Xenopus tropicalis: one gene and its partners. The protein of the gene in region 3 binds, or shares a complex with, the protein of the main gene of each other region. Links are inferred from orthologs where the notes say so. Each region holds a gene or a part of one and is shown on either strand. Other genes may lie near its edges.

Evidence for each region. Proteins that work in one complex are often made in the same cells at the same time.
Region 1: usp39 (region 3) and lsm5 share a complex: the UniProt entries of both Homo sapiens proteins name them as parts of the U4/U6-U5 tri-snRNP complex. The link is inferred for Xenopus tropicalis from reciprocal best matches to the Homo sapiens genes USP39 and LSM5.
Region 2: usp39 (region 3) and ppih share a complex: the UniProt entries of both Homo sapiens proteins name them as parts of the U4/U6-U5 tri-snRNP complex. The link is inferred for Xenopus tropicalis from reciprocal best matches to the Homo sapiens genes USP39 and PPIH.

The regions. Positions count from the first base shown.
Region 1 is NC_030682.2:61,893,464-61,897,496, forward strand, and holds the start of lsm5 (U6 snRNA-associated Sm-like protein LSm5), read right to left. Parts: upstream 2,862-4,033; 5' UTR 2,745-2,861; coding exon 2,699-2,744; intron 772-2,698; coding exon 676-771; intron 1-675. UniProt on the Homo sapiens protein: Plays a role in pre-mRNA splicing as component of the U4/U6-U5 tri-snRNP complex that is involved in spliceosome assembly, and as component of the precatalytic spliceosome (spliceosome B complex).
Region 2 is NC_030683.2:94,758,811-94,763,062, reverse strand, and holds the start of ppih (peptidyl-prolyl cis-trans isomerase H), read left to right. Parts: upstream 1-1,391; 5' UTR 1,392-1,394; coding exon 1,395-1,460; intron 1,461-2,336; coding exon 2,337-2,401; intron 2,402-3,655; coding exon 3,656-3,679; intron 3,680-4,252. UniProt on the Homo sapiens protein: PPIase that catalyzes the cis-trans isomerization of proline imidic peptide bonds in oligopeptides and may therefore assist protein folding. Participates in pre-mRNA splicing.
Region 3 is NC_030679.2:125,759,193-125,763,509, forward strand, and holds the start of usp39 (U4/U6.U5 tri-snRNP-associated protein 2), read left to right. Parts: upstream 1-1,511; 5' UTR 1,512-1,536; coding exon 1,537-1,606; intron 1,607-2,436; coding exon 2,437-2,512; intron 2,513-2,588; coding exon 2,589-2,683; intron 2,684-2,770; coding exon 2,771-2,907; intron 2,908-3,717; coding exon 3,718-3,870; intron 3,871-4,069; coding exon 4,070-4,295; intron 4,296-4,317. Other genes in the region: UPF0561 protein C2orf68 homolog, read right to left, coding at 1,156-1,256.

The DNA of each region.
Region 1 (4,033 bases), on a different chromosome or scaffold from region 3:
CCCCCTAGTACATTGGTGCCCAGCAGCAGTGCCCCCCTAGTACATTGGTGCCCAGCAGCAGTGCCCCCCTAGTACATTGGTGCCCAGCAGCAGTGCCCCCCTAGTACATTGGTGCCCAGCAGCAGTGCCCCCCTAGTACATTGGTGCCCAGCAGCAGTGCCCCCCTAGTACATTGGTGCCCAGCAGCAGTGCCCCCCTAGTACATTGGTGCCCAGCAGCAGTGCCCCCCTAGTACATTGGTGCCCAGCAGCAGTGCCCCCATAAGTCAGTGTGCCCCGTGGCCCCCCCTAATACATTGGTGCCCAGCAGCATTTTACTCTTCGGCGGCTTCAGCAGCATCTTCCCCTCACGCGCGCCGCCTCTGCACTTCTGCCTACACGCGACCGCACACAGGCCCTTTTATAACGTTGCGCCCCGTGCGTACTGACGTCACCCGTACACACGGGGCGCAACCAATGACAGGGCCCGGATTTTTTTTTTAAAGTAAAAATTGCGGCCCTGCCTACGGCACACCAGGCAACATCTCGCGGCACAAACAGTGGTTGAAAAACGCTGATCTAGAATGCTGAATGGAGTCTATTGCTGATGGTAAATCGGTATTTTATTTTGGTACATTCTAAATTAGTATAACTGAAGCAATAAACAAAAAACTAAGCGTAAGCAGACAAAGGATACTGACAAAATCATCAAAGCCAAGAAGTGTTCCAACAATTTCTTTATCACTCTTCATAACAATATGAATGCGAGATCCTATGCACTTGTCCACAAGCTCTGCAAGATCAGAAATAAAAAAAAAATTAAGAATACACTTTAAAATAAGGCAAAAATAAAGTAAAAATACATGTTAAAATACAAAAAATAATTTTACATTGTGTATATATTAATTAGGTTTGAAAGTAAAACTTGAACAATCAAAGGTTTCTAAATTGTGGTGGTAAATACTTATCGCCTGTCAAATATTTTTTGAACTTCAGACTAAAAGCACATTTTAGTATAAAAATGTATTTGAATGTACTTGGATCTTAAGCTGCATAACTGAAAGGAAAGAGGGCGACTAAACCTAAGTCTGAAAACCACTGATTTAAACCTTCAGGAATAAAAAAAAAAAAAAAGAAAAAAAGCATAGTTTTGTTTGGTAGTTTGCAGTAGAAAGATGTATTTAGCCATTTTTGCCTTAATAAAAATATGTACTTTCGGAAAATATACGGTTTTCGAGGGGCTCCGTATTGTTAGGACGTCTTATGGTACATAATACACATACCGGGTGCTTCTATTGCAGCAGCCAGTATCAGAGATGAACATTTCTATTTCATCTCGGACACTTGGGGGCTGATTTACTAACCCACGAATCCAAATGGGAAAAATTCCGATTGGAAAACGAACATTTTGCAACTTTTTCGTATTTTTTGCGATTTTTTCGTCGCCGTTACGACTTTTTCGTAAATTGTCGCAACTTTTTCGTAGCCGTTACGACTTGCGCAAATTGTCATGACTTTTTCGTAGCCGTTACGATTTGCTCGTATCTTGTCGCGACTTTTTCGTATTGAGCGCTCGTAAACTGCGGGCAAAACTTTCAGACTTAGCATGATTTTGGAAGCCTCCCATAGGACTCTGCAGCTCCAACCTGGCCCAAGAAAAGTCACGATACTGAAGCTTGAATGAATCCGAAACTTTCGTACTCGGCGCGAAGGCTACGAAAAAGTTGTGACAATTCGCGCAAGTCGTAACGCAACGAAAAAGTCACAACAATTTGCGAAACAGTCGTAACGGCTACGAAAAAGTCGCGACAATTTACGAAAAAAATCGCAAAATACAGACCATTACGAAAAAAACGCATTCGGACACTTTCGGACCGTTCGTGGATTAGTAAATCAGCCCCTTGGAGTCATTTAGAGTAGAAAGACACGGTTATCTATTTCGGATTTGGTTGAATGTGCACTTTTAAAAAATATAAATGGTATCCTGGGGTAAACCTAATGTTTCAGGATTTTTGGCTATGGAATCTAAAGTATGCCCTATTCTGCTGTAACACTTTTTTCAATAACTTACTGCTGGGAGTTTTCGATCTATAGAAGTCAGACATCTCCATAAAATTATACATACCTAGTATAGGCACATTCAAGAGATATTAGGCTTTCTGAATAAGTTGAAATTTTATCCATAAAATAAAAGATTTTTCTGGTATAAATCCCTATAATCATATTTTTTTTTTTTTCTTTTATTTGCCTTTAGAGCTCTAAATCTTGTTCCAGAAGTGGAAATACACAAAAACTCAGATTTAGAGCTCAGGTTCTCAAGAAAAGAATGATGTACAGTTTTCCTAGGTAAACTAAAAATCAACTAGAAAATAATTCTGTTCTTTTTTTATCTGCTTACAATTAAAAGGTTCAGTATAAAATATAAATTGTCTAACGCAGGGCTGCCATGCGGCTCCATCATTTGCCCGATAACCTAAAGCACGTCACCTAGCAGGTGCTGTTTAACCCAAGCAACAGTGCTAACTCCAGGTACACTACATCTGTACTTCACAACCCTAGTAAGCCACATACATATCAGAATTCTACAACAAATATGAGTTCAAAGAAAGCATGTCGCATGAAATAGGACAGCGCCATTGAAGATAAAAGCCAATTAGTAACTGCACACTAAAGGTCTCGAACTGGAATAGATCTAGTCACATATTTCCTAGAGTCCTTACCGAGCGGGAGAAGCTGCGACGGATTGGGAGTCACGGTAGCCGCCATCTTTGATATTCCTTACTTCGGATTTCCTCCTGTTTTCGTAATCTCCCGCTGTCACCTACCTAGAGCAATCGATTGCCGATCTCATTATGCAGTCGAGCGCAAGCGCTAAAAACTTCCTGGTTAGGGAAGATTAATCAACAGACGAGCAGAAAAAGGCCTTATATGGCGGAAGAGAGCGAACAGGGGACGTGGGCGTGGCTAGAAGAATGTTTCAAAGCAATGATTGCAAAAGTTGTTGTTGCGCCAGAATAATGAATGTTCAAAAAATCGGCTTGGCTTCATTGCGATTGCTAATTGGCCGGGTATTTTGTCAGATGTAGAATAACCAGCAGCTCTGGACTCTGTACAGCATATTAACCATCCACTTCAACCACTCACGTTTAGGTAAATTAATAGGAGCCCCGATCAATACAGAACAAATTACGGGGGCCCAGGTGCCAACTTAGACGAGTACATTCGAAGTATAGAACTTTTTCAGATGTTTTTGTATGTAGCAGGTGCTCAGCTTGAATCAGCTCTTAGGAGGCATGAAAGTACCTCTGGCCTGTGTTTTGTTTAACTAAAAGGGGAAAGGATTGCAGTCACTTCTGTACCTAAACATTAGCATTTATAGGGGATATACTTTATCCAGAAAATTATATATTTCTGTTTTAATTTTTTGTAGGGTAGTGTTCAATTACAAAACTCATAAATATTGTTTTATCTTAGAGGACAAGAATTTGTAAGCCACCCCTTGATACTGTACTTTAGAGGCATTATGCTGCTTGCCTGCCCTCCAAGGTGTTGAACAACTGCACAGTTTGCTTGGTTCCTGCACATTACATGAGCATAGTGTTGAGGGCCATAGATGATTGATATTAGTCACCTTTTTTTTAACTACTTGTATTTAAACTTTAAAAATTCAGCATGATTCATTCAAAGTCTCTGCTGCTACAAAAAAGTTTAGTTTTTGTAACTGTCATTAAAACTTCTACCTAATTTCAAGATTTCTGCATGTAGAGTGACAGTGTGTCATTTGCTTACTAAAACTCAATGTTTTGAAACCTAACATTCTGAAATTTCCAGAACCAGTTCCCAACTTCCTGCTAAGATCACTTAGAAACCTTCTGTTTACCTAAGCCTTCATTTAGTTTTTCTCAACTGCTGCCTTTTTTAAGCTTTGAGATAAAGAGCAAATAATTATGTCAAGGGCTTACCTGTGGATTGGTAATCACGTGGGTCAAAATATAATGACTGATACAAAAACGTGAGGTAGTAACTTTTGCCATCCAACACCACGTCTGTCGGAA
Region 2 (4,252 bases), on a different chromosome or scaffold from region 3:
GTCAAACGACCGATTCCCGAACGATCCGATACTATCGTTAAGTTATCGTATAGTTGATGGTGTGCGAACGATCGTCGGCCCACTAATCGACCCGACATTATTGTCCCCAAAATCGATCGGCCAGGTTTAAAAATTTTAGTCGTTTAATGATAAAATCTGCCAGTTGGTGTGAGTGTCAGACATTTGTCTTCGAACGATTGTTCTCTGCGCATGTCATGATTGCCAGCAGCGGAAGTCAACGAACATAAATAAATAAATACCGCTTCCGCCACGACATTGGATCGTACGTAGATGTACGATTGTAAAAATTGCAAATTATCGTTGCCTGTGGATGGCATATCGTATGGAAACCCGGTCGCCATACGATCGTTTGTCGATATAATAGTTCGTCGCACAACGAGTGAAATCGCCTTGTGTATGGGGACCTTAACATCAGAACAGTTATCTGTTTTCCTTCTCAATGTATACTCACTCAGCTGTATGGTTGTAAGAGCTGACCAGTAGGCGGCGCTGTTTATAAGCAGATTAAAAGCTTTAAAAAATAATTGATGTAAAATGCAAATGTGACTAGAAGAGGACACTGACAAATTTATATTAACTTTTTAGGTTTTAGATATACTTTATTCCCCAGTCAATTTATTTGTTAGGGCCCAGGTTTCATACCCATATCAGTTTCTTGGGAAACCTGATTTCCCTGTACTTTGAATTTATGGAATAGTTTTGAAGGCCAAACAGCAACAAAGCTGCCAGTGGAGAGGGAGATTTTATGGGAAGTGATATACAAACAATAAAACCTCCCTTCTCCTCACAGAATACAGAGGGGATTTGGTGTGTTCCCTATGTGCAGCAGCCACAGGTAACCATAATTCTACCTACTGCATAAATACACACATACACCCACACAGAAGCAGAGCTCTGTTATAAACGCACTCTCGCCCACACAGCATCACGGCTGTGATCAGGCCACATTGAAATAGGAACTAAAAAAAAAGACGTTTCCGGTGTGGAGCGCTGAGGCGCTTGTATTAGCACTGCTTGATGTGAGAGCAAGGCAGACAGCATGGATATTTACAGATATGGATAGCTTCAACAGAAATAAATTTAATTGCACGGAACATGTGAATGCTACAACTCCACTCCATCCAAAACTAAACCTCTGTACTGCTTATATGTCAATGAGTAAATCAGGTTTAGTCACGCGTAAACGTACTGCTATTGCCACTCTCCCATAATCCCCTGCAAGGTTAGAAGCGCAGGCATATCGCATCGCCCACCAACTTCATGCGAATAAAGCGTGTAAAACAATGCACTGCGCCTGCGCATACAGCCTACAAGCAAGCCGCTTCTGGGATTGAAGCGCCGCCTCTTCTCTTCCGGTTTTGCCCCAGATAGAAATGGCGGTACCGGCTTCCAACGCTAACAATCCCATCGTATTCTTCGATATCAGTATCGGGGGGCAGGTAACACGCGGTGTTAAGTATAATACATTGAGAAAGCCCTGCATTAAATGATGATTCCATACTTACGTACTGAGAAGAATCTCGCCATGCAACACCACCTACAAACTGCAGCTGAGCAAATGGGGCTGCATGGTGTAGTGTAGTATTAGCAAGAAGGCTAAGTGTGTACTGTGACTGAAGGACAGATTTTTATATTCATAGCAGAAATTATTATGTATTTAAATTGTATTCCACGTGTATGGGCCCCACTGTTCTTTCCGATCTCTAAACCCTAAAACTTTACTGATGGTCCTAAACATGCACTCTAAGCCCTGAGAAAATCCCTAAATATGAACTCTAAAATTCTCATGGCATCCCAATTCATGAACCCTGCCCCCAAGGAAGACTGGGCGTGAACCCCAAAAGAGAGCCCAAAACAAAACTTGTAAAGCCACCAGACGGCTGATCAAACCAATTAGGGGAAAAAAGATCATCTTGGAAAGCTCTGAATATTATCCTTAGAATGTATGGAAAAAAGTCAACATGGAAACTAGACATTTTGGAAAATGTGTCAACATGAGGGCTAATTTGTCCATTCCGTGTCTTTGAAAAAGTTGTTCTTTCAAGCAAACTGTTGCTATACCTATTTATTCTGCATTTATTTAAATTAAAGTTATACAGAATATTAAAAACATTGGGTGGCCTAATTTTGTAAGCTTTTAAAGTTTTGTAATTGCTATATTTTATGCTATTCAACTTCAAATTAGTTTGCTTGTGTGTAACTGTGAAGAAAGGCATATATTCTGGGAAAACATGAAGGGTATGATGACTGTAATACCAATGTGCTAATTGTCTTTTCACAAAAAAAACTAATTTAATGTCCATTTACTTTTTCAGGAGGTGGGCCGGATGAAGGTGGAACTTTTTGCAGATATTGTACCAAAAACTGCAGAGAACTTCAGGTGAAGTTGCATGACTTTTGCTGTCAAAACTCTGGAGTAGTTATATAGCAACACTGACAAAGTTTGCAACTGCCCATAACCCAAAGCAACCAATCAGATGTTTGCTGTCATTATTTTAGTCTCACTAGATCAGTAAGACTAAGGGCTCTGGCACACGGGGAGATTAGTCGCCCGCGGCAAAACTCCCTGTTCGCGGGCGACTAATCTCCCCGAGTTGCCTTCCCCTGCCATCCCACCGGCGAACATGTAAGTCGCCGGCGGGATGGCAGATGCGGCGGCGCGATTTCGCGCAAATCGCTGAAAAAGACTTGCGAGTCTTTTTCGGCGATTTGCCGAAATCGCCTCGCCGCGTCTGCCATCCCACCGCCGGCTTACATTGTCGCCGATGGGATGGCAGGGGAAGGCAACTCGGGGAGATTAGTCGCCCGCGAACAGGGAGTTTTGCCGCGGGCGACTCATCTCCCCATGTGCCAGCTATCTGTCGAGCCTACAAAATAGACAGTACTGATAGGATTGTTTTGCCTTCAATAGGGATTAATTATATCTTAGTTAGAATCAAGTGCAAGGTGCTGTTTTATTATTACAGAGAAAAGGGAAATCACTTTATATCATTTGATTTACTTGATTATAATGGAGTTTATAGAAGATGGCTTTCCCTGTAATTCTGATTTTTCTGGATAATGGACTTCTAAATAATGGTTCCTATACCTGTATTATATCTAGCAAACAGTTTTTAAATAGCTTAAAGCTTTACAATTATACTAATAATATATTATCCACATAGAGTTCCTTTCTGTTTTGTTTCTCTCATCACAACTAAGTTCTTTAATATACAGCCCTCTGCATCTAAAAGAATTTGACAGCACTACTTTACACCCCTTGTTTCTTTTTTTCAAACCATCCAAAGGTCCCTTCCCACAGGCATTAATATTCTCACCAGCAATTTACATCAATGCTGGTTGTAAGGAAACTTTGGGCATTTGTCACCTGCACTGAAGGAGATTTAGTTTTAGTGTTTAGAAGTAAAAGTAAATGGAGGATAAAGTAAATTCATGAATTTCCCATTTCTGATGCTTAAAGCTGATGCCAGAATCAACCCATGTGGCATCAGTCTAAGGGGCTATTTCTGATATCAAAAAGAAGTTGTTGTAGACTAATGCATTATGTGCTATGCAGGAATGCATTGTTGTGCAAACAGATTACGTTAGGTAAAGTATCTGCTAATTGTAAATAATTCTTTATTTCTCATTTCAGGCAATTCTGTACTGGCGAATTTAGGTTTGTATCTGTACTTCTTTTGCCCCGATCGGGGGTTTGATCTAAGTAATGGGAGTAGACTGGAATAAATGTTGAAGCACAATTGTTTCCACAAATCCTCATAGTTAAGTTCTAAGAAACTGGCTTCAGTGCTTCTCTGTTTTCATTCATTGTGTAGCAAATTCTGCAAGAAGCTAAACTGTCCATTGGCTGCTTGGTGGGGGATTATGAATATAATAGCAACAATACTTTTTCTGTAGATCAACTAATACTCAAAATAGTACATTGAAATTAAACGTAATAAGCAATATGGCAGCTTTCCTGACAGGAAAGACAATAACTGTTTTAAAATATTAAATAGTGCACCGCAGATATTTTTAGCACCTGTGCTGTAATACTGACATCTGCTTTAAGGGTAGTAGAATATTTACTGCAGATTGCATTTGCAAATTAGTTCTGAGTTTATTTATACCCTCCATTGACGTTCAGGGCTGAATCATCGGATATAGAGGTAGAAACAATAGCAATTCTACCCCTATCTGATGGTTCAGCCCTTAATGCATGATTTTGCTAAACAGTTGCTAGGGTTCAAAT
Region 3 (4,317 bases):
GCTGGACGGCCCCATACACGGGCAGATAAGCTGCTTAAACTCTTTGAAAGACCCCAATCGGCATCTTAAATCTGCCCAAGTATGGCCACCTTTACACAAGGTAAACATTAGAGGCGGTGGCACATGAGGAGGTTGTGTACATTTGCCCCTGCATGATTTCAGCTCAGGGGTGACTAAATGTTCTATAATGCCCAACCACTAATCACCAGTCTAGGCCCTTCCAGTGCACTCTTGGGTCAGGTGATAATCGTTAGGAAATGGCTAGTGCCCTGTTTTTGAGCATGCCCACACTGGTATATAGTAATTTTGAAAACAACCCAGAATGCTAGTAGACCAATGGCTGTGACAGTTTGACATGCAAGGCTCCTGCAAAGTTCCTAAAAGGTACCTAGTTTGCCCATGAGCAGTAACCCATATAGGGTTGCCATCTTCTGACTGGGGAATGCCTGTGTGGGAGGCAGAACGGTGATGTCATGGGGTGAGGCGGATGATGTTGGAGGTGTGGTCTATGACATTGAGGGATTTGGTGGGGTTATGACATGGCGATCGGTGCCAGGAGTTCTGTCCGATTTCCCTCATTTGGAAAATGGGGCAGGGAGTTTGACCCGGACAGACAGACGTGGCAACCCTAAACCCATAGCAACCAATAAGATATGTGCTTTACAATAGGTGACCAGTAAATTCTACCTGCTGACTGGTTCCATCAGTTGCTGCTCCTGGGAAAACTTAGTGCCTTTTATTAAATAGCCCCATCCAAGTTTAAAAAGGTGCGGACTTTAAAAGTGGGTGTGGTCACTTCAAAATCTCAACAGGAATCCGCTAGAGAAGCATGAATGGGACAGCCCTTTTGGAACTGAACAGCTGCCTCCACTGCCCAAAGGAGTTTGGCTACACAAATATTGGAATTTCAGAAGCAAATCTGTCATTTATTTAGCAAGGAAACACTAGTTCATATTTCAGTGCATTTGAAGTCCTGCCAGCTTTAGGAACACAAGTACCAGGCAATGCCATGGCAGGGATGGTATATGAATAGATTGGCCCCAACAGCACCAGTATAACCTTCATGGAAGCAGCCCCATGGCCAACACTACGTGAACAGTCTCAGTGTTTCTGCTTTTTAAAGGAAAAAGTTCCGGCCGCTGCCAGCCCTATTACCTCGCGATCTGATTCCGCCGGATATGGTGAACGAAGCCGTGATTCATATCCAGCCTCCCACCGGGCCCGGCTTTGCCCTGCACCTCCACTTCCTCCTGCATACTCCCGGCTCTAGTCTACTTCCAACACGGGCACCCTTTCAATCCCAATACCGCCCCCTAGCTACCGCTGGTAGGAACTATCCCGTCGCAGCCGATTGTAGGAGAGATAGCGATTGGCTGTTTTTGTTTCGACAAAGGCTAATGTAGCCAATCAATGCATCCCTGACATTAGCGTTCCGTGACTCGTTCCTGTTGTATAGGAAAGTGTACGGAAGCGGCGTGGGGGAGGGGCTTCAGTCCAAAGAGAGGCGAGACACGCAGGAGAGTCGGTGGAGGCAGAATGAACGCTGAGAAGCGGGTGAAACTGGAGATGGAGGAGGAAGACGACGACGATGATGATGATGAGAGAGGTGAGGGAAACTCATTCTATTGATGCGACTTGGTGTGAATAGTGTAACGGATTGATTGAGTAAAAGCGAATGAAAAAGAGTGGTGCACATGTGTTAGCGTGGGGGGATAATAAATATGTGCTTCCTCCGCTTGTGTCTGTCACTGTGTCAGAGAAGGAATTTCTCCAGGGCCCTCACCATTACTAGGGCCCCCACCATTACTAGGGCCCCCACCATTACCGGGGCCCCCACCATTACCGGGGCCCCCACCATTACCAGGGCCCCCACCATTACTAGGGCCCCCACCATTACTAGGGCCCCCACCATTACAAGGGCCCCCACCATTACTAGGGCCCCCACCATTACCGGGGCCCCCACCATTACCGGGGCCCCCACCATTACCGGGGCCCCCACCATTACCGGGGCCCCCACCATTACCGGGGCCCCCACCATTACCGGGGCCCCCACCATTACTAGGGCCCCCACCGAGAAAATATGGAATCCCCCCCAAAACAGGATCATTAAACCTGTTTTGTCAGTGCTCCGGCCATGTCTGTGCATGGTGTCCCAGCATGGTACCTCTAAAGCTGGACACAAGGATGGCTGATTGGACCATTTAGGTCATTAATTTCTGTATGAAACTAGGTTCACATTTGCTGCCACCCTCTGATCCCTACCTGTGATTTTAGCCCAAGTAATGGCAGTGTCACTCTTCCATAATGTTTTCCTGGCAATCCAAGTGTGATTTGCAGGCCAAGCAGTTTAAGTGGGTGATACAGGTGAATTGTGCATGTTTAACTTCAGAACTGTACATATAACATATATATAACACGTGCATGTAATGCTGGCAGTTGTAGGAAAGCACGGGCGGTATGACTTTGAAGACAGACGTAGTCGCCATTGCCCATATCTGGATACCATTAACAGGTCAGTCTGGTTGTTTTGCTTGGGACTGTGTTGATTATGTACTGCTCACAAATAACACTGGTTCTGTTCTTACCAGGAGTGTCTTGGACTTTGATTTTGAGAAGCTGTGTTCCATCTCTCTTTCTCACATTAATGCATATGCTTGCCTTGTATGCGGGAAATACTTCCAGGGTAAGTAAGTGGCACAGAGTGTGTTGTTCAGATGAGCCCTTATTTTGTCAAATTTTTCTCTTTTTTTTTTTTTTTTCCCCCCCCAAGGTCGAGGCTTGAAGTCCCATGCCTATATCCACAGTGTTCAGTTCAGTCACCATGTTTTCCTTAATCTGCACACACTGAAGTTCTACTGCCTGCCGGACAACTATAATATCATTGACTCCTCCCTGGAAGACATTACGGTACTTGCACATCCTCTCTTGCCCCATTTGTTTATGTGACCTTGGCATTTTCTAATATGAAGACAAAAAATCAGGATGGCCCAGTTCATATTTGCCCAAGGTGCAATCTTAGTGCCCAGTACAAGTGGTATGGCGTTCCCAGAGTTTTTAGAGTGCACTGTTGACTTATATAACACAGGTGTCGGTAAGTTAAAGACTCTTATACTCTTAGACTCTTATACTCAAGAGCAACAATCCCTTCACTAACTTGATGTGTCTATCACAACACATACGTCTCCTTTAGTGAGTTCAACCACAGCCAGCAATTAGGATGGGAAAGGTAGAATAGCATATTATCCGCAAAAGAGCCATGGATCACCTGTACTGCTCTGATCATGCAACACACAGCAGGGCATACATCAAAAAGCAGATTTTATGGTCAGTAACAGGGAAACATAAGCCCAGTGATGGCAGAAATGTCTAGCTCCACTAGCTGCCTGTTGCCTTAGCATTTTTCCCCTTCCTTTGGCTGGCCCCCATTCTTCAGTACAGTCTTTCAAAGTTCTTTTTTTTTTTTTTTTTTTTTTTTTTTTTTTTATATAAGTGTGAATCTACACATGGAAACAAGGACTGGGTTTCTCCTTGGATTGAGAACATAGATGGCCTCAGGCCATAAGAGAGAAAGGTAGCTGTTCTTACAGAAGTAAAGGGCTTTGTAAAATGTGCACATTATTTCTATACTGTCTCTGTCTGTTCAACTGTGTCACCCCCCCCCCCCCATATTAACTTTGCTTTTCATGTTTTTAGTAACTATCTCTTTGTCTTCTACAGTATGTGCTGAAGCCAACCTTCACCAAGCAGCAAATTGGTAACTTAGACAAACAGGCCAAGCTTTCTCGAGCATATGATGGTACCACTTACCTCCCAGGCATCGTGGGACTTAACAATATCAAAGCTAATGATTATGCCAATGCTGTTTTGCAGGTAGGAATTTTCACAATATACAGGGCCTGTGTAACAGTTAACCACCTCACCTTCACTGCAGCAGAGAATCATCTCTCATCTATTTCACTGGATGCCCTAACATTCATCAGTCTGAAACACTTTAAACACTTTTGCTCCCACAGACCATAGTGCAGATTTCATGGCCAATGTACACTAATTTCTTTATGGTCACTTCCAGGCTCTCTCCAATGTTCCTCCTCTGAGAAATTACTTTCTGGAGGAAGAGAATTATTGTGATATTAAGCGCCCTCCTGGGGATATCATGTTCCTGCTTGTGCAGAGATTTGGGGAATTAATGCGCAAACTGTGGAACCCCAGGAATTTTAAGGCTCATGTCTCCCCACATGAGATGCTCCAGGCTGTTGTTCTTTGCAGCAAGAAAAATTTCCAGATCACCAAGCAAGGTGAATATCTCCACCCCTCTGT